Ovis aries: one gene and its partners. The protein of the gene in region 1 purifies or fractionates together with the protein of each later gene. This does not show direct contact. Links are inferred from orthologs where the notes say so. Each region holds a gene or a part of one and is shown in the gene's direction. Other genes may lie near its edges. The genes, in order: TRAF3IP2, IKBKB, IKBKG and CD40.

Region 1 (8,123 bases):
TGGAGAAGAGGTAACCAGTGACTCGACAGCCATGTCTGGTGGCTAGTTTGTTTGGACCTCCCTGTGTTTCCATAGTTCTTTGCTTCTGAAAGAGACACAAGAACCTGAGAATCTTTCAGCTTGTGAGCCTAGCACCCAGCGCATGTCCAGAATGAGGCAAGTACTCACTAAAGACTGTGGGACTGGAGTAAGCCAGAAGGGCAGGCGGGACCAGGCCCTGGGACCCAGGACGTCTCTTCTCTTCTTGCCTCAGTCCTGGAACCAAGTTGTGGGGAGAGTCCCCAGTGCTGGGGACTCTGTGAGTGAGGACCATCCTGTGGGACTGGAGGACAGGAGTTTTCTTCTCTTCCTCGTGGTGCGTCAGAGTTTCACTCTGCCTTTTCAGCACTTAAAATCATAGCGTTTAAAGATGGAAAAGGTTTGTCCAAGGAATGAATCTTTTCATCTTTGCCTCTCTTTTCGTGGGTTAAAACCATAGTATAGTGAGTCCAGAGCATTAGGTCTAAATGGTTTTGTTTACAAAGGTGGGAAGAGCTGGCCTTTATCTAATTATGCAAGAATACAGAGAGACTCTAGAGCCTGGCAAACACCTATCCTGCCTCCTGGACCAGAACAAGAAGGCTGGTCTGCCTCCTGAGTATTCTGCTACTGTGTATACAGCAGCCGGCATTGCATAAACACAGCACCATGCTAACTGGCACAGTTTCAGATCCATCCTTTTATTACTTACACCTTTATCCCCCCTCTCTTAAATTGTCAAGAGTTGTGCAAAGAAAGCAAGTTCTGTGTGCTCCACCCAAACACATAGGAAGGGCAGACTTCAGCAGGGCGACCGAGGAAGGGGAGGTAATATCCACCTACTGGAAGTGAGACAGTTCTGGAATTCTTCTCCACAGACTAGCTATGTGACCTTAGAAGTGACTCTGTCTCGAGCTCCAGATTCCTTAAAGGTCAAGTGGGAATGACAGGAGTAAATTCATCTCCAAGACTTTTTGGAGGACTAAATACACTAACAAGTACTGTATGGTAGTTCCTGGGTGAAGAGTTCCTCTTCTGTGGGGGCAGCCAAAGGGCTGTGTGTATCAGCCGGAGAACACCAGCAGGGTCTCCTGCAGGGCTGGAGGTGTTCATTTCCCAGGCGCTCCCTGACATTTCCCCTGACATCCATATTTGACTAACTGTCACAGGCATATTCAGACAGCAGTTTCTAGTGTTCAGGACCTCCTCTCTAAACTGTTCACATCCGCAGGCTGCTGTTCAGTGGGATCCCAGCAAGGGCTCCTAAGTAGGAACCGTTAACTCCTTCCTCAAGTGCTGCTGTTCTGCTCAGGATAAACTGACCCAGAGGAAGGCCCAGCCACCAGCAATTATGAGCAGCCCTGCAGTGCTTGGTATCTCCCTGCAGGGCCCTTAGGTTCACATCTGGGGAAACGGTTGGTGGGAGAACTAGAAAAAAAGATTCCTCTTGTTCTTCCTGATGGGCTGTACTCCAAAGGCAGTAGTTGACAGGAGCGTCTTCTGGGCTTTTCCCAATCCATTTAAAGGCATCTAAAAGAAATGAAAACTGTCTTCACCCCACCCTTTCTTTGCTCTCCCTCTTTTTTTTCTCCTTTTGTCACTCTTTTCTATTCTCATCTCCTAATAGTGATAGCTTTTTCAAAGTATCCTGGTACCAACAGCTCCATACAAAAAAGCACTATTTTCCCCTAAACTAAAAAAAGCCTATAATATAATTTTGAGGGAGAAAACTCAAGGCCAAGGTAAGAAGTGCAATTTTTAAATCTTTTTTTTTTTTTAATGAATGAAGTACCACGCCCTTGTGGGGACAGGAATCTAATATAGACATGTTGGTGTTTGTATGCTCAGTCATGTCTGACTCTTTGTGACTCCATGCACTGTAGCCCACCAGGCTCCTCTGTCCACGGAATTTTCCAGGCAAGAGTACTGGAGTGGGTTGCTGTTTCCTCTTCCAGAGGCTCTTCCCCACCCAGGGATCGAAACTGCAACTCTAGTGTCTCCTTCATCTCAGCTTTTTTACCACTTTTTTCTTTTAACCACTTTTTTACCACTGAGCCACCAGGGAAGCCCCCAATATATGTATAGTATACATATTTTATGCAATGACTAGGATAAAAGCCTTCCATTCTCACCCATTCCCTCAACCCTCTTTCCTGGAGGCGATCACTACTTAATAGTTTGATATGCCTTCTTCCAGACATTTCTGTCATTTTTTTTGGTCATTTGGCAGTTATGTCGTGCTTGCCTACTAGGTTCTGGGCACAGTGATAAGTGTTAGAAACAACAGTGAATAAATGTATATAGATACACATACATGTATTTATCTGTCATATCTATTGGCAAAAGCGAGATGACCAGGGTAATGGGCTGACCCTCAGGACTCAACCAGCCACGCAGAGCAGCTGGAGCATAGTCCACCTGCCCACACCCAGCTGGCTAGAGGGTAACTGAGCTCACACCCTGGCCACCGCTGGCCGCCACAGCTCTCATTACGGTCTGCCATCCTGGTCTTCCTGTTTCTAGGGTCTCCCTCAGCAACAAATTCTGTAGGCACCGATTAAACAAGAAGGAAAGATGAAGAAATGAACTCGAGGACATGAAAAATGCAGCCAGAGGAAGACTGTGTGTGTGTGTGTTTTCTTAAAAATAGTCACTTTTTCATGCCTGTGGATGGGGTAAGGAATGTGTGTGTTGGGGTGGTTGGGGTGGGGGCGGGGAATGGGCAGTGAGTCCCCCCTTTGTGATTAAGAGCAGTAAATACAGTTAGAGACAGTAAGAAGTTTTGCTCCATACTCCTCCCCACGATCTGCCCCACCCGTTTCCTGCTCGGGAGCTGCTAATGAGTAACCCATCTTACCAACCCTCCCCGGGCATCGTCTCAGGCCTGGGTGCTTCGACAACCCTGAGGTTCAGGGAACATTCCTCAGCAGTTACTTAGCTGGGTGATGGGGAAAAAAAAAAAAAGAGCAGCCTAATTGGCTAGTGGCCTTTTCTAGTGAATGAAGGTTTCTGTTTTAAGAAGTAAAGTGACTTCTCAGCGGCTGTTGATTCACTGCCCACAGGGAGATTTTTGAGCAGAGGCTTCCTAGCCTCGGTAGAAATTTGCATACAGCTTCCACTTCCTGCTTCGGAGCCTGTTCCACGGCTTACCTGGGCCGGGAGAGGGTGCAGGGAGGCCTGGAGCAACCCAAGGTAGAGAGGCCCCGAGAAGGAGAGAGCGTGACCACCGGTCTGTCTGTCCTTGGCAGCTCTAAGGTAAGTGCTTCAGTTGTCACCTGACCAACCTTACTTCTTAACTTCTGATCCATTTTCCAAAACAATGTTTTCTCCTTTACCGAAAGTGCCGTCTCACTTTCCTCCGCCTGCCTCTCCCCACCTTTCATTTGTTGGTTCGTGTACAGAGAGACAGCTCCGGCTTAGAACATGACAGCTACGTGTCGGCTGTGAGACAGGGCCAGTGGTTTAGTATTTCAGACAGGAGAGCGAAGATTAACTCTTTGAGGAATAGACATCTACACCCACACACACACCCCTGTGTTTGAGGACTTAGTGTCCCCACGAGTTTTGATGAAGAAGACGTCCCCCCCTCTCCCTCCCTCACCCCCCTTCTCCAGGGAGGGAGCCGGGGAAATAAAAAATGAAGAGTTTGGCTTCCAGCCCCACGATGCATCAGTGGCAGAGGTGGAAGGAGAACTCCCGAGTTTTCTTGATCCCTCTTTCACTCAGGGGAAAAAACCAACACCCTGTTCTTGAGCCAGGAAGTCCAGCCCTGTTCCGTGCTGGCCATGGCTCTGCCAGCCCCTCTGCCCCAGCCCTCCACCCTCCCACACCGCCCAGGCATTTGCTGGCACAGACAGCCGGCCTGAGCCTTTAGGAAAAAACAGGGAGAGAAATGCTATTATTTGCTCTTAGAAGCTTATCAAGCTTCATGTGACTGTCAAGTTCAAGATGGTCTCTTAGTATAGGGGGATATTTTTAAATGAACAGGGAAAGAAATAATAAAAACAGAGGACCTGAAACTTGGTTTCAGATTCTCCCTCCTCTGCTTGCTGACTCTGTGCTGCTGCTGCTGCTAAGTCGTTTCAGTCGCGACCCACTCTGTGCGACCCCATAGGCGGCAGCCCACCAGGCTCCCTGGGATTCTCCAGGCAAGAGTACTGGAGTGGGTTGCCATTGCAACTCTGTGACTTAGGCAATTTACTTCTTTTTTTTTTTTGACTCAGGCCTGGATTTCTTCATCAGTAAAATGTGGATGGGGGTGGTGAGCTAAGATTATGTTGAAATTCACTTCTAAGAAAATAAGGCGTCGGTGATGAAAATCCCAGAGGGGCAGCCATAGTGGGCGGTCTCAGAAGATATGTGTTTTTTTTTTACTGATGATTCAAATATATTAATCTTACCTATCCTACTAGATAGTCCCTGGAGGAAAAGGACTTAATCCTTCTTTACCCTCTAGCACTCAGAATACTATCAGACACCTCAGGGGCGCTCAGGTTTCTTCCACATAAACTGCTCTGATTCGTTTCACTCATCTATAAAAGGTGAAGCCTTAGCCTGGGTGAAAGGCTGGGGGTGGGTAGAGGAGGGTACTGGGCAGCCGCATGGCTGTGTGGGAGAGCTGCCTGGAATTTAGATATAATTTTTGACTCAAGTTAAATAGAACACAGGGGGTTTCTTGAATTAGTTTATGTCCCATTTGGGTTACCCAGGAAGAAATGGCCTGTGCACTTGCCCACAGAGTCCAGGCAGCGCCAGAGAGCTGGCACACAGGCCTGGCTCCAAAAGGCTGTGTTACTGACTTAGCTGGAGCTGGAAATGACTCCTTGGCTAGACCAGTCACTTTGTGTGGGGCCTTTAATGGGAGGTGAAAGGAAGCTGTGAGGCACATCCTGATACCATGTAAGGGTGATGACTAGGATCAGACACATTATTAGATGGTAAACACCCTGAATTCTTAACCTTTTCCAAACCACTACTTTGTTTAAAAAAAAAAAAAATCATTGTTTCTTTTGAGCTAATTCTCTCCCTCCATACAGTTCACACAGGCCCTGGCTGAGTGGGATGGGCCGACTCAGGGCTTTTGGTTTTGCTCAGCTGTTTCTGTGGAATATGAAGGCCCTGCTATGGTCCTCATCATGCTTTCAGATAGCTATCTCTCTCATCCTGGGATGAGAGGACAGGAATTTCAAGATGTTTCACCTGTGATGCGTTACTGATTTTTATTTTCAAATAACATGCACCATTATCTGAAATCAAGCCAACTGTAGTTTGCTGCCAGCCAAGCTTTGACCCAGAAAGACCACCCACAGACATTCTTCATCTTGTGTCATTTGTGATGGAGCGGCCCCTGCTTCGCTCGGTGCTTGGGGTGAGCTGACTAAGCGTGAAGTCTGGGCGTGTTGGGGAGAAAACTGTTAACTCAGGATACTCACTTTGGGAGGGTTCAAAGATGGAAAATATTTAAGCCTGCTTCTCAAAATTAAGGAGCTAGTGACTTCCAAATGCTCTGAAAATAAGAAGGCAGTCATAACTGCAGAAATTCAGAATCATAGTTGCAGGCACTCAGAAAGATCAGCTATGAGCGTAGTTTGCCTAAATTAAGTCTATGTTTTGAAGAGTTGAAATCTTGGAAATATCCTGAATTCGAATCATTTTTCCACGACAGACAATTTTCGATTAGCCTTTCAAAACACATATGAATTGCAGGCAACTGCTGCATGGGAAAAAAAGAGCATACAGATGAGGCATATTAAACTTTAAATTCCTTTCAGATCCAATGAAATGACCCCTAATGTTTGATCATATTTCCTTATCAAAACAACCCTGCAGTCCTTCCGTGAGAAAGCATCTGAGGATCAGAGTCAAGCAGCTCTCCCCCGGGCCCCTTATGTTTCTCCTAGTGCATTGTCACCAAGGTATTTTTAGTTCATGAAGCCCAGGCTGTCCCTCTCCCTCAGACATTCGGCATTCTTTGCGTCTCTTGCCCAGCAGGCCTCCTGCTCACCCACATGTGCGTCGATGCCTGAGAGTTAAGCTCGCTCTGTGCCTCTGTGCGTGTGTGTATGCAAGCGTGTTTGTGTGCATGTGTGTGTGTATGTGTGTATACACACAGAACTTCCTGGAGACTTGAAGCTATAAACTGGCTGTGGGAGGAAGGTGAGCTTTCATCCCCCTGGTGACCTGCGAAGCTGCGCCAGTCTGGAGTGATTTCCTGACAAGGCAGCTGAGATCAAGTCGCTTGGGACCGAAGGGAGCCCCAGCCCTCATGACGCCCTTCCTTCACCCTGAAGACCCAGGCTGGCTGAGGTCTGGGCAGCTCCTTCAGTGATGATGGGAACTTGGCTTTTCCCACCTCCCTGTTTCCTCCACTAACGGTTCCAGTGTTTTTCCTTCTTCCTCTCCCAGGCGGGGTTCCCAGGTCTGCCTCCCATCACCCTTCCTCCTCTGTGCTGTTGGCCCGACTCTTCCAGGCTCAGCAGCTCCCCTCCAACACTCTTGCCATTTACCTGCACTCGTTCTCTCCCTCCCCTTCCAGCTGCCCCCTGTCTTACCCAGCAACACGTCAAAATCACAATTTAAGTGAGCCTTTGTCCTCTACCAATAAAGGACAAATTTGTTTAACTTTTCCTTCAGAGTTTCCCACTCTTCTGGCTTCTCTTCCATTTTCCTTTCCTCCTTTCCATCCCTTCTTCTCCCTCTCCAGATTTTTTCCTTTCTGCACTTTCTTCTCCTTCACTCTGGGGTCTGGACTGAATTAAGAATCACAAATGTGTGTTTAGAGAAACCGTATCTGAAACAAACAAACAAAAGAACCCATGGGCTGGTTTGAGGTTGTTCTCTAAACGGTTTTTACCAGCTTCCAGCATGGTGGAGTCAGTCCATTCCACTAGCCCCGTCAGCCAGTTAAGCAGCTCAGAGGAGTTCCAGGGCGAACTTGTAATCAGGTCGGGTCACGCTGCACTGCCTTCAGCCTGCTGTGAGCTGTACTGTGCAGGACACCTACAAGGGCCAGTAAACGCTCCCTCATCTCCAGGGCTCACCACTGCTTCCAGTTCTCTGGCAAACCAAGTGGAAGAACTTCTCTGTCTGGGAAATTCTGCAAGTAAACTTGGAAATATTTACTCACTGGAATTTGAACCTGAGCCACACAGTTCACTCAAAACTAACTTCCACTAAGCCAACTGACGTTGGGAAAGTTTGCATGCATTTGGGTAGTAAATGAAGAATGTTAACGAGTTTAAAGTTTTGTTTTTTTTTTTTTTTTTAATCCAGAACTTTCAGACACTTATAAAAAAAAAATTACTCCCTGGAGAATGAAGTAAGACCTTGAGAATCTGTGATTGCAAAGATCTGATCCAAATTGGATCTGAGGCTCTTCCTAGCTGTAAATTTATATATTTATTAATATATCCCCCCAAAATATTCATGCTATGTGTCTCTAGGGCCTTTCAACCCTATGGTTGACCCAAAGAATGCTTTAAAAAAAAAATCCAAGCAGTTGGTAATAGCAAGACTTGATCATTTAGGAGCTAGTAATGTGGGTTATTAATTACTCAGGCTGCTCACTCCTGCCCTTCCTCTGCTTCTTGCTCTGCTATTTGTCTTCTTCCAGGGACATAACACCTTCATTAAATCCCATCCGTCCTTGCCTCAGAGGCGTCCCCTGGAAAATATCCCTTCTCTAGATGTATCGCCATTTATCATCACCCTTTGTTTGTGCTCTGTCAACAAGTTTTCAATTTATTTTGAATTCAGTTTATGATTAAAATTTAATGAGATCCAATCAAGTGCTTTTCTCAAATCAAGATGCCTCGGCAGTCTCACCCATATCCTCTATTGTAGTGGCATGAAGGAAAGCCATCACAGGTTTCCAGCCTGGCCATTCTTCATAAAACACAGGTGGCAGGTATCCACGCCTCCTTAGCTTCAAGGTGAATGGTTCTGAAACCTATTTATTCCAGAAGCTTCTAAGGTTTACTCAGCTCCTGCCACCCCCTTTCTCTGCTGCCCCCAAAAGCTGTGCAAGTCCATGCTTCCAACCAAGAATCAAGAGGATTCGGTGCACAGGCTCTGGTGCTGAACTGCCTGGATGTGAACCCTGGCTC
Region 2 (7,555 bases), on another chromosome or scaffold:
ACTTGTCCCTGGGTTTAGGTCCCACCCAGATAATCCAGAGTGATCTCATCACAGGATCCTTAGCTACATCTGCAAAGGTGCTTTTTCGAAACGAGGTCACACCCCAGGTTCCTGGAGACCTGCGTGCAGCCCCTGAGCCGTGTGCCTGCTGGGCCCTGAGCCAGGCCTGTGCCGTGCAGCGCTGAGCCTGCTCTGCGAGTGCCCACCATCCCAATGTGGCTGTGATCCCACTGAGTGCTGCTCAGAGAGAAACCGCAGCACAGAAGAGACTGGAGAAGAGCCAAGAAAAGCTTGGAATCGAGCTGGCAGGCAGCAGGGAGGCTGAGGAGGCTGATGGCAGAGCTGCTTGGCCACGGGCTAGGGAGGCCTGCTGCTCCAGGTGCGCCAGCTGCCGCAGCCCAGAAAACACCTCGGCCTCTTCTGCTCCCCAGGTGGCGCAAGTCACGGGAAGTCACCTAGGACCTTCTTGTGTTTCTCTTCTTGGGAAGATTAAACACACCTTCCTTCTCGTTTCCTTGTAAGGGTTTGTTGAGCAATCCAACTAATGAGATAGAAGCCTTAGGGCCTTCCCTGGTGGTCCAGTGGTAAAGAATCCACCTTCCAGCACGGGACGAGGGTTTGTTCACTGGTCAGGAAACTAAGATCCCACATGCCACAGGGCAACTAAGCCCTCCTGCCACAACGAGAGAAGCCTGTAACTGCAATCAAGAGCCTGCAGAGCCAAAAAACACAAAATTAATGGCCAGTGGTTGATGAAAAAAAAAAAGAAATAGAACCCTTAAATTTCTCTGTATTTAGAACCCCCAAAATTTAAAATTAAATGGCCAATGGTTGATTAAAAAAAAAGAGAGAGAACCCTCAGATCTCTCTGTTTAGAACCCTCAATCAGAAAGTTACACCTGCAGATCAGAAGCAGTTTCTAAGCTGAAACGCAAAGCATCAGACGGCGATGTTGCCTGATTTCTGCAGGAAGAGCATGTGTCTCGTGGCCAGGTGTCTTCATGAGAAAACACCCTGCCGCGGAAGCAGAGTCTCAGTCATCCCTCTGCCCCTAGACCGCTGACTCTCGTTCTGGTTTTGCCCTCTAGAGCAAGGTCCGGGGTCCCGTCAGCGGGAGCCCGGACAGCATGAACGCCTCCCGCCTGAGTCACCCCAGCCAGCTGATGTCGCAGCCCTGCGCGGCTCCTGACAGCTTGCCCGAGGCTGCCGAGAAGAGGTGAGTCCTCATCCGCGGTGTCCAGTGCTGAAGTCCGGGGCGCGTCAGGAGGTCGTGGGCGTGGAAGCACGGGTCTCCTGGTGGCGGCGCCATGCACGCCCCTTGGTATCTGTCCCCCGTGCCGGGCACCGTGGGCGTGGATGTGGTGTGTTGCTCACAGCACTGCTTGTGGCCTGCCCAGCCAGGTGTCCTTATCTGAGGCCGAGTTGCTCTTGCTGGATGGGAGCCTTCCGTCCAGTGCTGGCCAGCCCTGTGCTGTCCCCTCATCCATCCCCTGCTATCTGCTCACAGAAGCAGGTCCCTGAGGGTGTCCTCTGGCCACCGCGCCCCAGTCACACATTGCCGGTCCGTCCTGTGGTCCCTCCTCCCCCCACCCCCCGCTCACCCCTCGCCGCCCTGCCTGTTGCGCACGCCCCTGCTGCAGAGCTGAGAGTGCAGCCTCAGAGCCCTTCCCATGAGGTTTTCCCTCTCTGCTTCCAGCCTAGTGCTGCCCCCAGGCCCCCTCTGGTCAAATCCGTCTTCATGGGAGACTGTTTTGATCGAGTTATTCTCCTGGATACTCAGGGACCAGCCATGGCAGCCAGCTGCCTCGGGGCCAAGGCTGAGCCTTTCCCAGCCTCCAAGCGTCCTCTCCAGGCTCACCCCCACTCCCAGGCAGCTCCTGGCTCTGCCCGAGGGTCTTGGAGCCCGGTCCAGACCAACAGCATCAGTGGGTTCTGGGCTCTCACTGGACATGCAGGTTCGGGATCGGCAACCCCGGGTAACCAGGCCGGGCCGACCCCCCTGCATCCTGGCGCCCCGGGTCCTTGGCTCTGCTGACGCCCTCCCTGGGGTGTCTTCCCTCCGCCCTGGCCCTGCCTCCCACCCCCTCCACGGCCCAGACACACACGCACAGATCTCTGTTCCCGAGACACCCGTGCGGCTTTTTGTTTCTGGCTCAGCCTCACACCCATTCTTCAGGGCCTTCCCTTGCTGGGCCCCAGGCGCTGGAGACGGTGAAGACTGATTCCCAAGGGCAGGTCTACAGACTAGAGAGGAGACCTGGTTGCTGAGGGAGAGCAGTGACTGACAGCGGGTACAGGGTTTCCCCTTGGGTGATGAAACGGTCGAGGACCAGACCTCTGCGATGGTTGCACGACGCTGTAAGTGCACCAGAAGCGTGTGGTCGTGCACCTTACACGGGTGAACTTTATGGTTTGTGAATATATCTCAGTAAAGCTGTTTTCAAGAAGTCCTGTTCCTGTACTTGGGGAGTTTGTATTCTCTATTGTTGTGGGTTTTTTTTTTTCTATTTCTCTTTTGGCCTCTTGGCTTGCAGAATGTATTTCCCTGAGCAGGGACTGAACCTGGGCCCTCGGCAGTGAAAGTGCAGAATCCTAACCACTGGACCACCAGAGAATTCTCCGTGTTGGATTCTTAATTCTCTCCCCAACTTCCAGTTAGCTCCTTGAGGGTGGTAACCGGGTCCGGGGCTCTGGGGCCAGCCCAGAGCCTGGTGCCTGGGCAGTGGCCAGGCAGTGGATGAGTCTGGGCTCTGCTCCTCCCACTAGCGCCCCCTTTGCGGTGAGAGGAGGAACTGCGGGGCCCTTCCTGTTGGGTTTGTCCCCGCTCTAGGAAAGGCGTCCTGGGGGCTCAGGTTGCCATCTGTCTGCCCACGTCCTGGAGCTGAGGTTAGAACAAGACAGATGGCTTGCTTTGCTCTCGCCTTTCTCAGCCACGGCCTGTTCTCGGGACGTGTGCATTTCTTATCGTAGAGAAGGTGGGACGTGTGCATTTCTCATAGGAAAGGCGAGAGTGCAGCAGATGAATTAGTTCCTAGAACACGCTGCTCCCAGTCTGAGAGCTGAGGACACCTGGGGAATTCTCGCGGTCTGTATACCTTTATCAGTTTCAAGAACTGTGAAACAGGTGATCTGGGAGAGATTTTCAGATTGTGGCAGTTTAGAGAGAGCCTAAGAAATCCCTTTGGCTCTGAACTTTTTTATTAGGCCAGACCTCTGCTTTCTCATGTTGTGAATGGCGATGCTCACGGCTGGGTTTGAGCTTCCATAACAGTGCTCAAGAAGAACAGATGAAAATTGCCGAGGCAGTGTCATATATTTTAAGACACTCAGTATCAGAATAATCGTTCAATTTTTAAAATCTTTCCAGAAGCCCTTTAGCATACTTGTACATAGTAATATATTTCTTTTGAAAAGTTCACACTGACCACGTTCTAATAATCCAGTCGTTTTCTTTAGTGACGACCTGGTGGCTGAAGCTCACACCCTGTGCACCCAGCTGGAGAACGCCCTGCAGGACACCATGAAGGAGCAGGACCAGAGTTTGAGGGTAATGGCCCACGGGGAGCCCCGCTGCTCCACACCTTTTCTTTTCTGCAGCAAACGAGAAGCTGAGAGAGAGGCGACGCCCTGCCGCCTTGATCTCAGTGTACACTTGGGATTTTCTGGTACAACCTTCATATTCATCATGATAACAGGGCTGACGACTGTTGAACGAGCACAGGTACCTTACGTGCTCTGTCTCCTCTCATCCTCACTGTGCTTGGTCCTTATGAGGCCGGTAGCATCCCTGGGAGAAGGCCTCTCTCCCGCTCTTCCCTTCTGTGCAGTTGCTGGGCATGCGTGTGAGAGGTGCGGTGCTGGGCTCCAGGGACAAAGCTGTCACCACCCCATCTCTCAGGGACTCGGAGCTTAGGGACTCAGCAAGCCCAGCTCTAGGGAAGCTGATCTAAAGAAAAATGAGTCCAGGTGCAGAGACATCGAGGCAAAGCTGAACTTTCTGAGAGGATGCTTAATTGTTCGCTTGGGTCTTTTAATGGCCATTTCCTCCAATACAGTCCCGCACTAGCGTTGCCGAAACTTCTCGGTTTGGGGAAGGATCGGAGGGGTCACTGCCAATGGTAATCACCTCTTATTTCTTCAAGTGCCATCCTGCTGTTTGGGGCTTTCCGTGTCTCCTCCTTGGTACTCTTCCTCCTCTGGGCCCTGTATGTTTCGACCCTTGCACTGCCTATGTGCTTCTGCCAGAGGGAAAGGAAGTCTGGCCAGGCGGTTCCACCTGGTTAGCCTGGAGCTGGAGAACTAAGACGAGCCCTGGGCACCTGGGTGTTCAGTGAGCATAGGTCAGTGCTGTGAGCTGCAGGAATCACACTTAAATCGCTTGGCCAGAGTCTCCAGGGGCTCTCCAGGGGCCAGGGGCTCCACGCCCATCTGAAGATAAGCTCCTGCACGGTCTTGAAGACATAGCTCCAGCTCTGGGGTCCCTTGCAGAAACTCGACTGTCAATGAAAGGCTCTAGCCTTCCTTCTAAATCATGCTGGTTGCCTCCCAAAGAAGAAAACCAGGTACCTGGGTGGCCACAGGGTTGTTAATGAGCCCATTGACTTTCAGTCTCTAGACTGGAGCTGGTTGCAGTCGGAGGAGGAGGAACAGCAGGGACTGGAGCGGGCCTCGTGATGGTGGGCGGCCCTGGCCCCAGTGGGCTGCCTTGCCCAAGGCCCCAGCGTCATCGCGCCCGGCGTCCTTGGCACCCAGACAGAGATCACGCTCCTCCAGCAGCCATGACGGTCGCTCTGGACTGAAGGCATGGCCCTCCGTGGGCACAGCCAGCAGCTCGTCTGCTCGCTGGATTTCCTCTGCTGCAGAGGCCCAGTGGACGTGGATGCCGGGGGGCGGCGTGTAGGAGATGTCTCCAGGGCCGCCACTGCCCCTGCGAGGGGAGAGGAGTGCTCCAGGCTCAGCGGCCACACCCGACTGACTCCCAGGACGAAGTCTGAGCGGCGCTCGGTGCCAGCTGTCTCCTCCTGACCCCTCCTGCTCTCCAGAGGAGGTCTGTCTGCGTAGCTCGAGTTTCTGGATTCGGCTTCTCTTGAGCAGACCTCCAAACCCCGGATCCTGCCCTGTCCCATCCTCCTTTCTCCTCTGATCTCACTGCTGCTAACGTTTGTCCTTCCACCTGCGATCTGCAGCCAGGCTGCGGTCCTTCCAGCCAGCGTGACTGGAGCCAGGAGGGAAAAGCATCTCCCTTCCTGCGTGTCCCAAAGAGTCCCTGGGAGCGAGCTGCCTTGGAGAAGAAGGAAAGACGGAAAGGATGTCTGTCACTCATGAGCCTGTTGACCCCCTGTGCCCACAGCCCTGCCCCGTGTGCGGCTGTGGGGGGTGTGGGGGAGGTCCCGCCCCTCGTATCCTCTCGCGGTATTATTTAGTGAATGTATTTAAAAAACAGATTCTCTATTTTGCAACATGACTCAGATCCCACTGTCTATTTTTATAATACCTCTGGTTAGGACTTAACACACTCAAAAACCCAGCTGCAATGGAACATTTGATGAAATTGAACGGTGCCAGGGCCCGCGCTGCTTCTCTGCTGTCTCACAAAAGCTTCTCTGTATAACAGAGGGACAGCACGGTGAGCTCGGATGATCCCAGGCAGGCAAGTTTGGTTGGAGAAGAAAGCCGGACGAGAAGAGTTTCACAGAATGCCTTTCGTGGAGGCGGTTCTGTGGGTTCCATGTACAGGAAGTTTGGGCAACAACGGTTCATGCTTTAAGTGCCTCTTAGAAATTCACATTGTGCACTGGTGTACTGAAGGATGGAAAGTCCCGTGATAATGAAGTGAAGTGAAGTCCCTCATTTGTGTCTGACTCTTTGGGACCCCATGGACTAGTACGCTCCTCCGTCCATGGGATTTCCCAGGCAAGAGTACTGGAGTGGGTTGCCATTTCCTTCTCCCGTGATAATAAACTGGTTTAATTCTGCCTAAATCCGCTGTTTCCCCAACTTGCTTGACAATGATACCTTTTATTTTTCTCTCGTGTGCATGTAACATTGATGAACAGCCCAAAGAACTGGAGAGTGATAAAGCATGATATAGAAAACACTGGTGAGGAACACAGTGGGAATTTAGACCCGAATGGTAGGCTGAGGTGGGGTCAGATTAGGGAGGGAATGAATGTTGAGCTAAGAATCAGGGGCCGATTTTAATGGCAGTTGGAAGTCACTGAAGAATTTTGAGTAAAGAATCACCAAAGTTCATGCTTCAAAAGAGTAACATAGGGACTTCCCTGGTGATGCAGTGGAATCCGCCTTCCAATGCAGGAGACATGAGTTCGATCCCTGGTCGAGGAACTAAGATCCCGCATGCCAGGGGGCAGCTAAGCCCACACACCACAACTGGAGAGACTGCAGGGAAAGATTCAGCAACAGCAACTAAGACCCGATGCAGCCAAATAAATAAATAGAACATTTTAAATTAAAAAATGATAAAAGAGTAATATAACTGGAAAATGCTAATAGGTTGAAAAAATGAAGACCCTGGAGGTTGGACTTCCAGAAAGTGGAGCAGACGCACCTCCCCACCTCCTAGTTCAGCTGAGACCCTTGGACGTTATTTATAAACGAAGAAGATTCTGAAAGGTAGTGAGAAGGATGCAGAGCAGCGGGGACCTTGGCCCTGAGTGGTGGCACGTGGTGTGTTCCCTGGGGATTCCTCTCACCCCCTGCATCCCTGGCGGGGGCTGGGAGCACCAGCCAGTAACACCAGCGGAGACGCTGCTCTCCAGCTGTTAGGCTCCTAGGTCTGCTGTAACAAATCACCACAAACTCCATGGCTTAACAGACGTCTATTCTCACAGGTCTGGAGGCTGGAAGCCTGAAATCAAGTCCTCCAAAGTCTCTAGGGGTCATTCTGTTCCTTGCTTCCTCCAGCTTCTGGTGAACCCAGGAGACCCTTGACTTGTGGCCGCTTCTCTGCCTCTGTGGTCGTATTGCCATCATTTCTCTGTCTCTCATATCTCTCCTATGTGCCTTTTAGAAAATCAGATGTGCCTTGTGATCAAATTCAAGGCTGATCTGGATAAGGATACATGTCTCTTTCCAAGACCCTTATCTTACGTTTTGCAATATAAGGCAATATTTATAGATTCTGGGGATTGGGATGTGGACATTTCTTCCTGGGGGCCACCATTGAACCCATATAGCCCCTCCCCAAAATTCATGGTGTCAAGAATGACTTAGAAAAGAGAAGAGCAAAATAAAAGCAAGCAGAATGAACAGAGCAATAAAGATCAGAGCAGAAATCAAAGACATTGACAAATAGGAAAACAATATGATCAATAAATGAGCTGATTCTTTGATACGTAAAAAGACGGAAGACACAAATGATCGATATCAGGAATGAAACGATGAAATTACTGATGTTGCAGATACCAAAAGAATAGTGCAGGAATACTATGAACAACTATGCGTATAAATATAACAGAATAAATGAACCAATTACTTGAAAAACAATCTACCACAACTCATCAAATTTGAAATAATATGAATAGCAATATAGCTA
Region 3 (7,555 bases), on another chromosome or scaffold:
ATACGGGGGTGTGGCCTCCGCGGGCCCCTCCCTCGTGGGGCGGGGAAGGTCGAGGGCGCGGGCAGGTGCGTGCGCATCCCGGCCAGGCCGGGCCCCCCCACCCCACCGTGGAGGCCCCAGCCCTGGCCCGCCCTGCCCCTCGAGCACCTGCGCCGGCCGCTGAGCCGCGGGCCGCCTGCTGTCTCGGCTGCGGCTGTGCCGTGTCCCCGCTACCTCGCGAGTCCGCCTGCAGCTCCCCGCAGCTCGCCCGTGTCCCCATCCCTGGCCCGACCCCGCCCCTAGAGTCCGGCTGTCGGCGCAGGGCCCCGGGGAGGTTCTGCGTGCTCGCGCGGGCCTCCACTTCCGCCAGCTGCTTGACCCTGTCCTTCGACCCTGTTGGTGGGTGGGGTCTTCTGCAGCTCCGTCTCCTCGCCAGACCGGTCGCCGGAGCAGGTCAAATCAGCCCTATCAGATGACAGCCTCGTTGTGGTTCCAACCCTAGCGGGAAGGGGGACGGCCCTGCCGGAGAGACAAGGGGGAATGCAGGTCGCGACGCTAATTACTGGGGAATGCCCCGCCGGCCAACCGAGGCTTGGTGGGTTCAGGTTTCCGCTTTGGGCAGCCTCTCTCTCACCTTCCGCCGGCCGGCCAGGCAGGGGCGGGACCTGAGCATTTTACTTCCGGATCCGACAGCTTAGACACCGGAAGCCGGAAGTGAGAAGTTGGCAGAGGGAGAAGGGAAGGGCTACAGCGGAACTCGGACTTTCTCGGAGCGCCGGGGGTCCGAGGAACGCCCGGGGCCCGCCGTTCCCGCCCTTCTCACGTCGGACCGACTGAGCTGACAGGTGTGGCCCTCTTCTGAAGACAGGGTACCATCGGTGGGCGTTCTGCCGCCTCCGAAATCCCCTCCCCGGATGACCAGGCTTCCCCCTCCTGTTCGGTCCAGCCGGGTTCTGCTGCGCACTTCCAGAGCACCGGCGGAGGCAGGCCGATTGAGGACTCAGGTTACTTTGGCGGCGAGCGGGTTTGTTTCCGCCTCTCTTTCCTCCGCCAGCGCCGAGTCTGACCACACCCCTAGTTTGTGAATGACTCTTCTAGGTCGGAGACATTTTCTGTTCATCATCTGTGCATTTCAGGTTAAAGTTCTTTAAGAAGGCGTTAAATATGACTTGCCAGCTAAGTATCTCACCTCATGTGCATCATTTTGCTTCTTTGCAAAACGATGAATGTCTCCTGGACCTCGTATCATTTCTGTGACTTGAGGATGAATGGGCCATCCTGACATGTTAGAGGAACTCAGTAACGAAGCCGCTATACCTGGAGTAGAGTGAGCGAGGGAATGCTTAGAGTGGGAGCCGGTTTGATTCCTGGGTCGGGAAGATCCGCTGGAGAAGGGATAGGCTACCCACTCAAGTATTCTTGGGCTTCCCTGGTGGCTCAGCTGGTAAAGAATCCGCTTGCAATGTGGGAGACCTGGGTTCGATCCTTGGGTTGGGAAGATCCCCTGGAGAAGGGAAAGGCTACCCACTCCAGTATTCTGGCCTGGAGAATTCCATGGACTGTACAGTCCATGGGGTCGCAAAGATTTGGACACAGCTGAGCGAGTTTCACTTTAATGGGAGAACAGATAGGGCACGGCCTTGTAGGTAGTGGTAGGGACTTTAGGTTTTAAGCTATCGGCAATGAGGAACCATGGTAGGGATCCCAGCAGAGGAGGGATGTGATCAGAATCACCTTTCAGGCTGACTGGTCTGGCGCGGTGGGGAGAACTGACTATGGGGGCGGCACGTGTAGGAGCCGGGTGACTTTTAGGAGGTTATTACAATAATTACCTGAATAGTGATGTTGCTCTTATCATTTTATTGTGTAAAATTTCAAAGGCATAGAAAAGTATAATAGTCTAGTAAATTCAATGTACTCACTTCCCAGCTTCAACAGTTACCAACTCGTGGATATTTTTAATTCATACTCCTCAAAAACAGCTTCGTTGACATATAATTCACATACCTCGCAAATCACCCATTTAAAGTATACAGTTCACTGGTTTTTCAGTGCATTCACAGACTTGCACAACTATCACCATTAATTCCAGAACATTTTCATCACTCCAAAAAGAGACCCCATGAACTTCAGCCATCACTCTCACCACCCCATCTACCCCTGCTCTAAGCATCCACTAGTCTTTCTGTCTATGTATTTACCTATTCTGGACATTTCATGTAAATGGAGTCATAATATGTGGTCTTTTGTGAGTTGTTTCTTTTTATTAACATAATGTTGCAGCATGGGAATGTACTAGATTTTGTCTATTCATCAGTTGATAAACATCTGGGTCATTTTCACTGTGGCTGTTTGGAGTAATGCTGCTACCAACATTCCTGTGCAGACATGAGTTTTCATTTCTTTCAGGTAGATACCTAGCAGTTCACCCATTATTTAGAACCAAGTCCCAGACGCCATGTGATTTCTTTCAATAAAAGTTCCATGTGGATCTCTAAGAAATGACTTTGAAAGAAACATAGCCACACCAGCACTGTCACATGTAAAATAGTACCATTACCTGCTAAGTGTCATCAAATAGATTCTAAGATACATCTTGACAGGATTTCCTGATGAATCCGACGTGAGCTGTGAGACAGATGGGAATCAAGAAAGACTTGAAGGTTTTGTCCTGCCAGCTAGAGCATGGGTTAGCCATCTATTGGTAACAAGGAAGGCCATGAATGGAACTGGCCTCTGGGGATGATCAGGAGTGTAGTTTACCGAGGTTAGTTTTGAAAGGATGACTGGATATCCAAGTGGAGATCTGGCATTTGATGTGTGAGTTGGGCGTTCAGGAAAGAGTTCTGATTTGGGGCATCATTAGCATTAAGATGAGGGCTACAGTTTTGAGTCTGGATGGAATTAGTACTGGAGTGACTGAAATTAGAGAAAAAGTCCCAGAACAGAGCCCTAGGGCATGACCACATGAAGGGCTGGGTTAATGAGGATGGACCAATGAAAGCCTGAGAGAGAGCAGCCAGTGAGGTAGGTGGGAAACCAGTAGAGTGGGCTGTTCTGGAATCAGGGATCAGTGATCCATTAGATACTGCTAATGGGTTAGTAGGGTGTTCAGTGAAGCATCAGTGTAATAGTGAAATGTCCAAGCTCGTCTGGTGTTCAAGCCTCTGGCTGCAGCTCAGGCCCTACTGGAAACTTCTTTTGTGATTAGCTTCCTCTTCATGTAGCCAGTCTTGGGCAGGCCTTAAAAGGGCTCCAGGTTGATGCTGTCTGGCGTAGACTCCCTCTCTCTACTCCAGGTCACAAGAGAACACAAATGGCTCAGCCTTTCTCTGCCTCCCTGCCTTCATCTGTGAGCCCAGGCCCTGCTTTCAGATGTCTCAGTACACGTCAAACGTGGGATGATCCACTTTAGCCCTTCTGTTCCAAAGAACACTCACCAGGCTCTGAGTGATCTCTGTGAAGACCCTCTTACTTGGTGTATGGATTTCCTAGGGTTGCTGTAAGAGATAGCCACAAGTGGGGGCGGGGGTTTAAAACAACGGAAGTTTATCCTTTCCTGGCTCTGGAGACCAACAGCCTGAGGTCAAGGTGTTGGTAAGGCTGTGCTTCCTTCGAGGGCTCCAGGGCAGGGTCCTCTGGGCTTTGTCCAGCTTGTGGGGGCTTCAGGTGTCCCTGGGCTTGTGACCACATCCCTCCTGTCTCTGCCTGTATTTTCATGTGGCATCTCCTCTGTGTCTCTCCTCTTCTGTGTCTCATAAGGACACTTTTAGGGCCTTTCTCATCCAGGATTATCTTATCTCCAGATCCTTGATTTTATCGCATCTGCAAAGATCCTTTTCCGCAGTTTACAGTCACAGGTTCTGGGTGTCATAAGGTATTTAATAAGGTATGTCACATGGACATACCTTATTGGGGGTTATCATTCAACTCACTGTACTACGTGAGGGGCCACTCACCTCCACTCATGCTTGGAAGTGTGTGTGTGTAGGGTAGGATTCCCAGCATACCGACACATCCCTCCAAAACTAATTTTCTATGTTATTTCTCCTCTCTGGTGATGTTCTTAACTTCAGCTTACAGTTTACAAGCAGTGCTGAACCATGACCTTTCCAAGCCCCACAGAAGTGCCTGCACCTCCCTTAGGAATGGGACTATGTGCTACCTCTTAGACCAGAAAGCCCATGTTAGCATCTCTTTCCACTTGCCAGCATGCTCATCATTTTGCTTGAAGTGTGATGCCAGGACTCCTCGTCCTGCAGGGTAGGAGAATTCTGTATAGGTCTCTTCATATCCTACCCTTGCTAACTCTCTTTCAGGCCCTGACGTGTTGGATGAGCAGGCCCCCCTGAAAGAGTCCACTGTGTGAGATGGTGCAGCCGAGTGGTGGCCCGGCAGGGGACCAGGACATGCTAGGTGAAGAGTCTTCTCTGGGGAAGCCAGCCATGCTCCACATGCCTTCAGAGCAGGGCACCCCTGAGACCTTCCAGCGCTGTCTGGAGGAGAATCAAGAGCTCCGAGGTGAGGGCAACAGTGGGCGGGCAGCGTCAAATGTCTGGGGAGCAGGCCCTGCTGGGGGAATTGACCCCACTTACCCAGTGCCTCTGCGTTTTCTGGGACTGAGGTGGGCAGGCGCTCGAGAGCCAGTTTGTGGCTCTGGGTCAGCTAGCCTCCTTCCTTCATTTCCTGTGGGGTTCTCTGGAAGTGACTCACAGCTACAGAGTGCCATCCAGAATGTTTAGAGTCAGGACCAACACTGGGGAGGGGAGGGGATGGGAAGGGAAGGGCAGGGCAGTGAAGAAGAAGGGGTGGGCAGAGGGAGAAGCTGGGCTGCCCTCCCTCCAAGGAGCTCTGGAGCTGAGGTGACCTTTTTGGGTTGTCCCTGTCGGGCCAAGGCCGCCAGGCTCCTGTGTCTCCGTACTGATCAGCCATTGTTGTCATTCAGTCACTCAGTCGTGTGTCTGACTCTCTGTGACCCCATGGACAGAAGCATCAAACAATATACTGGAAAGGGGCGTGGCTACCCGAGGAAGGGCGTGGCTATTTAAGGGGCGTGGCCTGCTCCAGAAAGGGGTGTAGTCTGCTCTGGGCTAGGCTGGGGCTTCCTAGGAAGGGCCCGTGGGTGGCTTTGGGGAAGGGACATCTGGGCCACTGTGGGTGGACTGTCAATCGTCCCCCCTCCAGGTAAGACAACCAACAATATCCCCCAGGTGTCGTTAAATATGTTTCTGTGTTGGGGCCACATTGAGCTGGCAGCCAAGTTTGGGGCAGGGAGACAGTTCGCTCTCCACAGCTACATATGTGGTCTGAGCTCATCCCCAGGACAGTGGGGGCTGGTGGGGGCACCGTGGGCCTGAGGCAGAAAGCCCTGTCTCAGATCAGTCGCTCCCTTGTAGGGCTGGAGTCTTATGGGGACTGTGGTACGTAAAAGGAGGCTCTGGAGCCAGGCTCAGGAGCCATTGTGGTTCTAGCGAAAGAATGTTCCATCAGAAGGCCTATTTAGCTCATTGGGGGTTCTGAACAGAGAGGGGGCCTCCTCTAATCTAGTTCTGTGGTGGTTAGCACCTTCACAGGCCATGGATCCGTTTTGTCAGTACCAGTGGTGAGCTGCTGCTTGGCGGTGTCCCTGGGTGGGTGGCTCTCCTTTCCTCAGCCCTTGCTGACTGCCTGGGAAGAGGAGGACAAAGTGGTTCTTGAAGCTGTCTTGTGTACCAGGCACTTTGGCTGCTTTTCCATGTTACCCGTCCTGTCTCTGAGATGGGGATGCTTGTCCCCATTGAACGTGTACAAGAGGATGGTGAGGCTCAGAGAACTCGCCTGCTCCGAGACTTCTGGCCCTGCCCCCAAGACCCCCCTCAGTCTGGGGCCAGCAGAGCTCGGGGAAGTTTGCCCCCAGTCTGATCCTGAAGGCAGTGACCCAGGGGCCTGCTCTGACCCATGCAGAAGGCAGATGAGTTCCAGAGTCACTTACAAAGAACAAATAAACTGACATTTGACATTTTTTTTTTTTTTTTGGCCACACTGTGCGGCTTGTGGGACCTCAGTTCCCTGACCAGGAATTGAACCCGGGCCAGGGCAGTGAAAGCACTGGGTCCCAACCACGAGGCCACTAGGGACTCCCTGACATGTGTTTTTAAGTGAAGCTTTTGTGGACACTGGGGGTATGTCATTCGCGTAGCTGACTTTGAAAGTGATCGGCGAAACGAGGGAGTGTTGGGAAGACGTCCCAGTGGGGGAGTCCTCGGGGCGGTGGGGGGCCGCAGGCCCTGGGCTCATCTGGCCCCAGCTATCTCTGCAGACGCCATCCGCCAGAGCAACCAGATGCTGCGCGAGCGCTGTGAGGAGCTGCAGCGTTTCCAGGGCAACCAGAGGGAGGAGAAGGCCTTCCTCATGCAGAAGTTCCAGGAGGCCCGGGACTTGGTGGCGAGGCTGAGCCTAGAGAAGCGCGAACTGCGCCAGCAGAGGGAGCAGGCCCTACAGGAGGTGGAACGCCTGAAGACATGCCAGCAGGTAAGGACCTGGCTGCCTGCTTGGGGGCACCGGGGTGGGGGGCTCCCGGAGTTGGGGAAAGCTGTTGTCCTCCCAGTTACGGCATTAGGATGAGCAGCTGGCTGGGATATGGGTTGAAATCAGTAAAGATAAAGGAACGGAGGGCAAGTCCAGGAGAGACGGAGCCATGCATGAGAGTGTGCCCTCTGGGGACTTGTAGGGGTGGTCATTCCCGGAGGCCTGGGGCGCCTGTATGGCTCCCCTTAGGTACTTGATTTCTGGGTCCCAGAGATCAAGCTGGTACATGTGGCCCAGGGCCTGGCCAGAAATCACGCTGCTGGCAGTATAGACAGCCTGGTGGGGGCCCTTGGGGAGTGTCTCAGGTTTCCGGGGCTGCTGTAACAGAGTACCACAAACAGGGTAGTTGGAAGCCACAGAAATGTGTGGTCTGCCAGTCATGGAGGCTGGAAGTCCATGATCCAGGCGTGGACAGGGTTGGTTCCTTCTGAGGGCAGGATCTGGTCCAAGTCTGTCTCCTAGCCTCAGGTACCTGCTGGGAGGACTCTGTTCCGTGGTTTGCAAACACACTGTCACGTGGCCTTCTCCCCTCGTGTCTGGGCATCTTTCCTCATCTTATGAAGACACAAGTGTCAAAGAGCAGTTCATCCGGCCTTTAGGTAAAGGGGTAGGAACCGGTTTTGTTTGGTAACCACGGTCAGCAGACGAAAGCACCAGGCACCCTTCTGATTGGCATAGGGGTGCCGGTGATTTGAAGGGAGAGTGAGGTGGGGTCAGCGACAGGGTCTCGAGTGAAAACCCATGGTGGGTTGGTCAGGGTCAATGTGGTGAGGTCAGCAGCGTCCGTCCCCGGGGTCAGTTCTTGGATGTTACGATTCCATCCTACTCAGAGATGGGTAGACTCAGGCCCTGTCTTTCCTGAGGATCCCATTTCAAAGGAATGACTCTCAGGTCCCCGAGAAAGCCTCTCCTGGGTTGTTGGAGGTACACGGACATCTCAAAGGGCCAGAGCAGGGGTTCACATGTGGGGAGCCTTCTTAGGAAAGACTTGGAGAAAGGGGGGGTGCTC
Region 4 (8,174 bases), on another chromosome or scaffold:
TATAAGTTTTAAAAATCTTACATTGTTTAAGGAAACTCAAGGAGAAGAAACGGCAACCCACTCCAGTATTCTTCCCTGGACAATCCCGTGGACAGAGGAGCCACAACTGCTGAAACTTGCAAGCTCCAGGGCCCGAGGGTCACAACTGGAGTCTGTGTGCTGCAACGAAGATCCTGCATGCCACAACGAAGACCCCACGCAGTCAAATAAATACTTTTTAAGAACAGAAAGAGTTGGTTCAATGAAAGGACAGTGGGAAAGGGCTCTCCCTGCAGCGATGACAGCACAGTCTGGAGCGGAAAGTTGAAGGCAGGGAGGACAGTTAGAGATTCAGGCCTAGACGCTCTGTGGGCTTGTAGGAGTGAGAGATCTGTGGGGTTGCTTCACATCTGGGAGGCGCACGATCGGGTTTGTATTTTAGAACCACCTAGCAGCCAGACTCCAGCAGTGCTGCAGACTTGACCTTCAGGCCCACTTCTCATCCATTTATCTGGCCCTGGGACTGCCCCCCGCCGCCGCCCCCACCTCCCTACAAAGGCCATTTCTTCTGTGATTTCAAAATCCTCGGTTCCTGCTCTTTGGAATATCTTTTGCCCTACTCCCACCACTGAACGCTTCATAGTTTCACCCTTCAGTGGGACTCTGAAATATTGTCACCCTCCCCAAAAGTCATCTTTTCTCTTTCCTCCTCCAGCGCACTCTTCTAAGCCCAGGAAGATTCGATGCCTTCTCTGGGCCCATGCCTGCCAGCCCATGTCTCCTCGGGATATGCATATACTAAAATATCTTCCCTTTATCTCATCTGGTCTTCGCCCCATGGGGCCACCCGGAGGCTACTATTTATTCTTTCACACATTAATTTAAGCTGCTTTAATTGCTGCTATGATATGTTTTATATAATATAATTAATGTTTAATTCTGTGTACTTGCTTCCCAAGGCAGTTTTGTGAAGGGCCCAATTTTAGAATCAAGCAAATAAAGAATAAGTGATGGCTTAAGTTATTATAGTAACGCCCCCCTACACCGCCCCCCTAGGAATGAAAATGGTGCTTGTGTTTTCCAATGTGGGTTAAAAAGGGAAAAGATATTTTAATGTTGTCTCTATTCCAGGCATGCTTGTGTGACTTTCATGAAATTCCCTGGTCTCTGGTTTCAAGTGTTCTGGGACTACAGGTATCAACTTGAGGTCTGTGTTGAAACTATCAGCTCTATACCTCCTTTCTGACGGAGACTGTGCTTAGAATAAGAAGTTATCGAACCTACTCACTTATTTATTCATTCAGCAAATGTGTTGGTGCCCAGGACTGGGACAGATTCAGTCCTGCCCTCAATGAGCTCATCATCAAATGGGGCCAGGCATATGGGGTAAGAATCCAGCATGTTACTGCTGTGGGAACCTGGGAGCAGGGGCAAAGGTGGGGTGCAGTATCCACTTCTGTCTCGGGGAGTTTAGAGGAGGTTTATCTAAAGAGAAGGTAAAATTTAAACTCATTCGAGGAAGGAGAAGGAAGAAAACAGCAAGACAGAAGAAAGAAACAACTGTGCTTTTGGAAAGTGAAGAAAAGGCGAGGATGCTTGAAGCCAGCATGCATGGTAGGACACGGCAGGGTGTGAGTGTGGGAACAGAGGGTGGGGCTGAATGGAGACTCAGCTGAGCCAGAAGAGAGTTTGGACCATCCTCAGATGAGACTCCCTTGTTCAGGAAGGAGATCAAACCAGTCAATACTAAATGAAATCAACCCTGAACATATATTGGAAGGATTGATGCTGAAGCTGAAGCTCCAGTACTTTGGCCACTTGATGTGAAAAGCCGACTCTGGAAAAGACTCTGACTTGGGAAAGACTGAAGGCGAAAGGAGAAGGGGTGACAGAGGATGAGATGATCAGATAGTATCACCGACTTAATGGACATGAATTTGAGCAAACTCTGGAAGATAGTGGAGGACAGAGGAACCTGGTGTGCTACAGTCCATGGGCTTGCAGATAGTTGGACAAGACTCAGTGACTGAACAACAACAGGGTCTCAGTTCAGTCGCTCAGTCGTGTCTGACTCTTTGCGACCCCATGAATCGCAGCACGCCAGGCCTCCCTGTCCATCACCAACTCCCAGAGTTCACTCAGATTCATGTCCATCGAGTCAGTGATGCCATCCAGGCATCTCATCCTCTGTTGTCCCCTTCTCCTCCTGCTCCCAATCCCTTCCAGCATCAGAGTCTTTTCCAATGAGTCAGCTCTTCGCATGAGGTGGCCAAAGTACTGGAGCTTCAGCTTTAGCATCATTCCTTCCAAAGAACACCCAGGACTGATTTCCTTTAGAATGGACTGGTTGGATGGGGAGGGGGGGGGGTAAGTGGGGGGGCAGTGGGTGGGTGGAGGTGGGTGGAGGGGGTGGGGGAGCTGGGCTCAGAGTTACCTGGAACATAGCAGAGACTCAACAAATACTTAATTGAATGAGTGAGGCTGTTGTGACAGCCCAGGTGAAAGATGGTGAGCCTCTGAATTAAAGCAGTGGCAGAGGGGATAGAAGAGAGGGGATGGATTCTGAAGGTAAAATCTACAGGTCTGCAAATGTGCCCTTTGCAGCAGAAGCCAGGAGAATGGGGTTAGCAGCCCTCTCCCTTCCTCTCTGATCTGTGCAGTTTGACCTTTTGACCCTGCCCAGAAACTCAGAGCTTGGAGAGTCATCACCCCAAACACCCTCTAGTTCAAGCTCCTTAGGTTTTATTGAAGCACATCGAGGCTCAAGGACACCCAGCCCATCAGAAGCAGAGCCTAGGCCACAACCCAGGTGTTCCCTGCTGCAGAGCAGAGTTCAAGAAAGGCTTGGAGGGTCTGAACTGGGGAAATAATTGCTACAAGGACGTGTGCTTCTGCAGAACTAGGGGGTCTCCAGTCTCCAAAGATTCTCAAGGGGTCCTGCGACCCCAAGAAAGAGTGGTCTAGTCTAAGCGCCTGTTTTCAGGTGGCGGAAAGGAAAGGAACTGGAATGGAACAGAGTCTGGTGGGGACAGCACGCACGGATGGATGGGTGGATGGATGGATGGATGAATGGGATGAGGCAGGGAGCGCGCTGGGACGCGGCGCCCACGCGAGGGAATTTCCTTTGAAAGAGAGCGAAACTGTAAGTTGGGAAACTCTTTTCCTTGAAAGCCCCCCCGCCCCCTCCAAACCTCCTTCCACCACCCAGCCGTGGCCTTCCCGTTTTCTGGGAACTTCTTTAGGCCTCTCCATCCGCGGCGTTCGACACTTTCGGTTCCGCTGGGATTGCCGGAGGCGGCGGGGAAGAACCGGGCGGGGTGGAGGAGTCTTAACACCCATAGGGATCTCTCTCCACTCCCTTCGCCTCTCTCCCAACTCCTCATCCCCATCCCCAGAAAGCGGCTGCCTCTCTCCTGTTCGGCCTTTGTAGTCCTAGGGGGCGCGGGGAGGGGGGGGTTCCCATGAAGAGCTCTCCTTGGAACGACCCTTTCCCCCTTTCTCCCCGCTTCCTTCCCCAAAGTGCGTCCCTAAACTCCTTGGGGAATTAGACTCCCCGGGAATGTCCTGGGGGAAATCCCAGGGAGGTGTGTCTCCGGGAGCTCCGCCCCTCCGCCAGCGAGGCTGGCTGCGATTGGTCCCCGAAGACCCCGCTTCTTTCCTGGGCGGGCCCCCGGGCCAGGACAGGGGAACTGGAAGCGCCTAAGTCCCGGCGCGCTCTCCTCCCGCCGCCGTTTCTCACCTCGCCATGGTTCGTTTGCCACTGCAGTGTCTCTGCTGGGGCTTCTTTCTGACCGCCGTAAGTTGAAATTCCGTTCCGACCAGAGGCGGGAATTTGAGATTAGAGAGTAGGGAATGGGAAAAGAAGCGATACTTCGGGCAGGGGACCTTCTGAGCTGATTTTGCGGTGGGGGTGTGGAAGCTGGGTAGGGTACCGGGGTCATGGCTGAATGAGATGGGCTGTTTCTCTCTCCTCCCGGGCAGGGGTGGGGGTCCCAGGTGGCCCACAGAGGGCGCCTAGTGGGGTCGCCGCAGGAAACGCCTAGGCAGATGAGGTTGGGGGTTTCGGCAGCTTTAAGCCTTTATCTGGTCAAAGAACTGGAGTCTGGGTCTGCCTCGAAGGCTGGCCCGAAAGAGACGGTGAGGGGTTTCAGAAGTGAGAAGGGAGGCCAGCCAAGGGAAGGGGCGGGTTTGGCCGGTTTCCTGTCTCTTTCCCATTGTGGATAAATGCCAGCCTCTGTGAGTGGTTATCACCTCCTTGCCAGCTGGGGTGGCCTTCTTCCAGGACATCTTGCGGGAGCATGGGATGAGGGCAGTGGCCCAGGTGCTTCTCTGAGAAGGCAAGGAGCTTTTAACGTTCCCACTCCAGAACCAAATCCTGGTGATCTTCCCCTACCCCCAACATAGGAGGAATACCCAAGGCTGTGACCCTGCCTCCTGAATTTAAGGTGACATAGGGGACTCTTGGGGGACCTGAACAGTTCATGGGACCATGAAAGGGCTGGGAGACCAGCAGAGGTTTCTCCAGGTGCCAGAAGGGCTAAGATATGCCCAACCAAGCATATCTCCGGGATTTTCAGAGTTCCACACTTGACTCGCTTCTAGTTTAAATGTATTTTTTGTAGTTCCTCATTCTGGAGGCTGGGAATCCCCCAAGTACCTGACACTGTCATCCCCACCCCTCTGGTCTCCCCCTAACTTTCAAGGGCTGTACTTTCTGACATGAAGGCAGGGCAGGAATGACCCATGAAGTAGGGGGTCAGCAGCAAGGGGAGAGATGCTGTGGGGAAGCTACTCTGGCCCCAGCACTTTCATTTTCACTGTAAGCAATGGCTCTTAGGGAGAAAGGGGGCAGGAAGGGGGCTCTTGGAGGAGAAGTGGAGGAAAAGCCAGCGGGGATAGGGTAAAAGGTGGTCTGGGCTTCTCAAGAGCAAAGTCCCAATTTTAGCTCCAGGTGGAGACTAGGCTGTGACAACAATATCTGAGGCTGTTTACTGAGAGCTTCCTGTGTGTCAGGCTCTGAGCAAAATACTTTACGTGCATTCTTGGTCTGATTTCTTCCAACTCCCCCATTATACAGATGAGCAAACTGAGGCTCAGAGAGAGAAAATGGCTTGCCCCAATCCACTTAGCTAGGTGGAACCTGCCAATAAATGTACATCTGCCTGATTTCTGAGCCAGCCTCTCAGATGGTGAGAGTCTCCAAGCCTTGGTCCTGAGCTACCACATGTCAGAAGGGTTGAAACTGTGAAGTGGGAACTGGGGATTTGACGCATTTTCAGAGGAGGGGCTATATGTCTCGTATGTTTGAAAATGGCATAGAGGACTTTTGCTGCCCTGGGAGTGTGGGGGGAAGGTCCATGGGCTTGTGGGGAGAACGTTCACAGGATGGTGTGTTGTGATGTGATGGCGGGAGCAGTAACCTTTGCTCTTTCCTTCCCTGCTTGGGATAAGACGCACTTCTGTAAGTGATTCACGCGCCCCCCCCTGCCCCCCCCCCCGCCCCAAGTTGAATGAGAACTACCAATTAGGCAGGTTCCTGGTAGCCAGGGTGCTGGGCAACCCAGCAGATACTTATGTATGTATGATAATTAAAAGTGCCATTTAATGAGCAACTCCTATGTTCTGGACACTATACCAGGCCATATTTATCCATTCTTTCTCGTCTTCACAACCTAATCTGTGCATGCGTGCATTCTAAATTGCTTCAGTCAACTCTTGTGACACCATGGATTGTAGCCTGCCAGGGCTCTGTCCATGGGATTCTCCAGGCAAGAAAACTGGAGTGAGCTGCCATATCCTCCTCCAGAGGGTCTTCCTGACCCAGGGATCAAACCCATGTCTCTTATGTCTCCTGTATTGGAAGGCGGGTTCTTAACCACTGGGGCCACCTAGGAAGTCCTAATCTGTGGGGCAGGCATTATTTCTCCCATTTTAGAGTTGTAGAAACTGAGGATAAGAGAGGCAAAACAATTAGTTAAGTGTTACAAAGTCAAGACTGGAGCTTTAAGCTGTTTGACCCTTAAAACTGTTCTTTTCACTGGCTGTTCCCAAAGTGTGAGATGATTTTAGAGAGCATGCGGTTGCTGTTGTGAAGTTGCTAAGTCATGTCAACTCTTCTGCAACCCCATGCAGATGTAGAATTAACAACATAGATTCACTTTGCAGTTCTATTTAAAATCCTTTTCATTTTTCAAGAAGGAAGTCGCTGGAGCTAGAATATAGTTAATACCTCTCAAATGCCTTCTAATCCTCCTTTTAAAACAAAAATCAGGAGCAGGCCTGGGGTAGAGGGCTGTCAGTAAGCAAAGCAATCAGCTATGGCTTAATGACATTGTTTTGTTTCTGCTGAATTTATTTTTAGGGTTGCCTTTTATTTATGAGAAGTGATACTAGTTTTGCTCTCATGGCAATGCTATGAGGTTTACCTTGAAAATAAATGTATTTAAATGAACAAGAAGTGATGAATAGCATGGGTGGTACCTGGATGTAGTGACAATAATACAGGAGACCCACGCTGATGGAGAGAGGGAGTATTGAGACCCGAGTTCTCATTCGGATTCTATCACTGTGTGACCTTGGGCAAGTGAATCGGCCTTTCTGGTCCCCAGTCTCACCACGTGTGAAGTGAAAGAGTTGGATTTTATGCTTCCAGCTGCTCCATCCTGTATTTCGTGACGGAGGGGTTGGATGATCAGATGATGAGAGGCTGAAGGGAGAAAACATGACGAGGCTCGGAGAGGGGAAGAGGGTGGGGAGCAAAAGAATAGAAGGAAGAGGCCAGATGCTAAATATAGCCCCTATTTGGGCTAGGACCAGCTGGAGTCAGCCAGCTTCAGGACTCCAGGGTAGATGCTGGAGTCCTCATGTGCTCTTGGGTTGCTGGGGAGAGGAAAGACTCAGCCCTCAAGCCAAAAGGAAGATGTGTTTAGTGCAATGAATACTGTGAGTTAACAGTGCAATTACTTTGTAAAATATCAGAGTGATTCTCTGGGTACCTTTGTCATCATACTAGTTGGCAGTTTAGATAAAAACAAATGTAACATATAACACACAGGCCCCGTTTTTCTGCTTTGTACTTCCACTTTGGTTCTAACCTCTGTCCTGGCCGATTTGCACCTGTCTGCCGAGGAGGCTACATCTGAGATTTCAAGATCCCTTCAAATCACCCAATTCTTTTTTTAGGTCCACCCAGAACCAGCCACTGCCTGCGGAGAGAAGCAATACCCAGTGAACAGTCTTTGCTGTGATTTGTGCCCGCCGGGTGAGACGCCGACCCTCTAGCCCCACGTGGGACCTGTCTTGGTCTGCTGGCACATGCAGATCTCATGTGTCAACGATAAGCTTGTGTCTTAAATGACCCCTGGGATTCCCTGTCCCTGCCCCAGGATGTTCTGAGCTTCCTTTCTGCCAACCCAGAACTAGGGTTCCTATCTCTTCTGCGTCCTATACCCGAGTATGAAGGCTGGAAGGGTCTGGGACTGCCCTCTTTGCAGCCCCCTCCCTAAAGCCCAGCCTTACCACTTTTCAGTTAAGTGTCTGACTCATTGGGTGGCCTGGAGCACCCTCATTTCCGGATGTTTTCCAGGACAGAAACTGCTGAACGACTGCACAGAGGTCAGCAAAACAGAATGCCAGTCCTGCGGTAAAGGCGAATTCCTGTCCACCTGGAACAGAGAAAAATACTGTCACGAGCACAGATACTGCAACCCCAGTGCGTGGGCTGCGGGGGAAGGGGCCCTTGGGAGTCAGGCTGACAGTCCAGCTCATTCCTGACAGTACAGCCATCCTGGCTTTTTAAATTTTAATAGCCAGGGTCTGTTCTGATTGGTTAGAGTCTGGGTTGTCTTGGTTGTTGCCTAATTTGATTGCCGTCCCTGCTAGGAAGAGGGTCTAAAACAAAAGAACAGGAAATATGAAGATCAGGGGCCCCTGGATCAAGGCCGGTAAGGGGTTCCCATCCTTCCTTCCTGTCTCTGCACAGACCTAGGGCTCCGGATCCAGAGCGAGGGCACCTTGAATACAGACACCACTTGCGTATGTGATGAAGGCCAACACTGTACCAGTCACACCTGCGAAAGTTGTACGCCCCACAGCTTGTGTCTCCCTGGCTTCGGGGTCAAGCAGATCGGTAAGTGGCCTGTCTGGGAATCAGCTTTAGAGGCAGGAGAGAGGAGGCAAGGGCCCAAGGAGAGGGG

Evidence for each region.
Region 2: the proteins of TRAF3IP2 (region 1) and IKBKB purify together in Homo sapiens (affinity purification with western blotting; 3 studies listed by BioGRID, with this or other methods). This does not show direct contact. The link is inferred for Ovis aries from reciprocal best matches to the Homo sapiens genes TRAF3IP2 and IKBKB.
Region 3: the proteins of TRAF3IP2 (region 1) and IKBKG purify together in Homo sapiens (affinity purification with western blotting; 3 studies listed by BioGRID, with this or other methods). This does not show direct contact. The link is inferred for Ovis aries from reciprocal best matches to the Homo sapiens genes TRAF3IP2 and IKBKG.
Region 4: the proteins of TRAF3IP2 (region 1) and CD40 purify together in Homo sapiens (affinity purification with western blotting, with the first as the bait; 3 studies listed by BioGRID). This does not show direct contact. The link is inferred for Ovis aries from reciprocal best matches to the Homo sapiens genes TRAF3IP2 and CD40.

Annotation. Positions count from the first base shown.
Region 1 is NC_056061.1:26,132,629-26,140,751, forward strand, and holds the start of TRAF3IP2 (E3 ubiquitin ligase TRAF3IP2), read left to right. Parts: upstream 1-3,154; 5' UTR 3,155-3,273; intron 3,274-8,123. UniProt on the Homo sapiens protein: E3 ubiquitin ligase that catalyzes 'Lys-63'-linked polyubiquitination of target protein, enhancing protein-protein interaction and cell signaling. Transfers ubiquitin from E2 ubiquitin-conjugating enzyme UBE2V1-UBE2N to substrate protein.
Region 2 is NC_056079.1:36,499,958-36,507,512, forward strand, and holds the end of IKBKB (inhibitor of nuclear factor kappa-B kinase subunit beta), read left to right. Parts: intron 1-1,088; coding exon 1,089-1,216; intron 1,217-2,541; exon of another isoform or gene 2,542-2,614; intron 2,615-3,456; coding exon 3,457-3,913; 3' UTR 3,914-4,608; coding exon of another isoform or gene 4,609-4,674; 3' UTR 4,675-5,981; downstream 5,982-7,555.
Region 3 is NC_056080.1:79,911,385-79,918,939, reverse strand, and holds part of IKBKG (NF-kappa-B essential modulator), read left to right. Parts: exon of another isoform or gene 1-12; intron 13-147; coding exon of another isoform or gene 148-259; exon of another isoform or gene 260-646; intron 647-679; exon of another isoform or gene 680-1,003; intron 1,004-4,298; 5' UTR 4,299-4,349; coding exon 4,350-4,500; intron 4,501-6,265; coding exon 6,266-6,489; intron 6,490-7,008; exon of another isoform or gene 7,009-7,145; intron 7,146-7,555. Other genes in the region: G6PD (glucose-6-phosphate 1-dehydrogenase), read right to left, coding at 148-259. UniProt on the Homo sapiens protein: Regulatory subunit of the IKK core complex which phosphorylates inhibitors of NF-kappa-B thus leading to the dissociation of the inhibitor/NF-kappa-B complex and ultimately the degradation of the inhibitor.
Region 4 is NC_056066.1:74,820,433-74,828,606, forward strand, and holds the start of CD40 (tumor necrosis factor receptor superfamily member 5), read left to right. Parts: upstream 1-3,706; 5' UTR 3,707-3,724; coding exon 3,725-3,775; intron 3,776-7,161; coding exon 7,162-7,240; intron 7,241-7,564; coding exon 7,565-7,690; intron 7,691-7,960; coding exon 7,961-8,107; intron 8,108-8,174.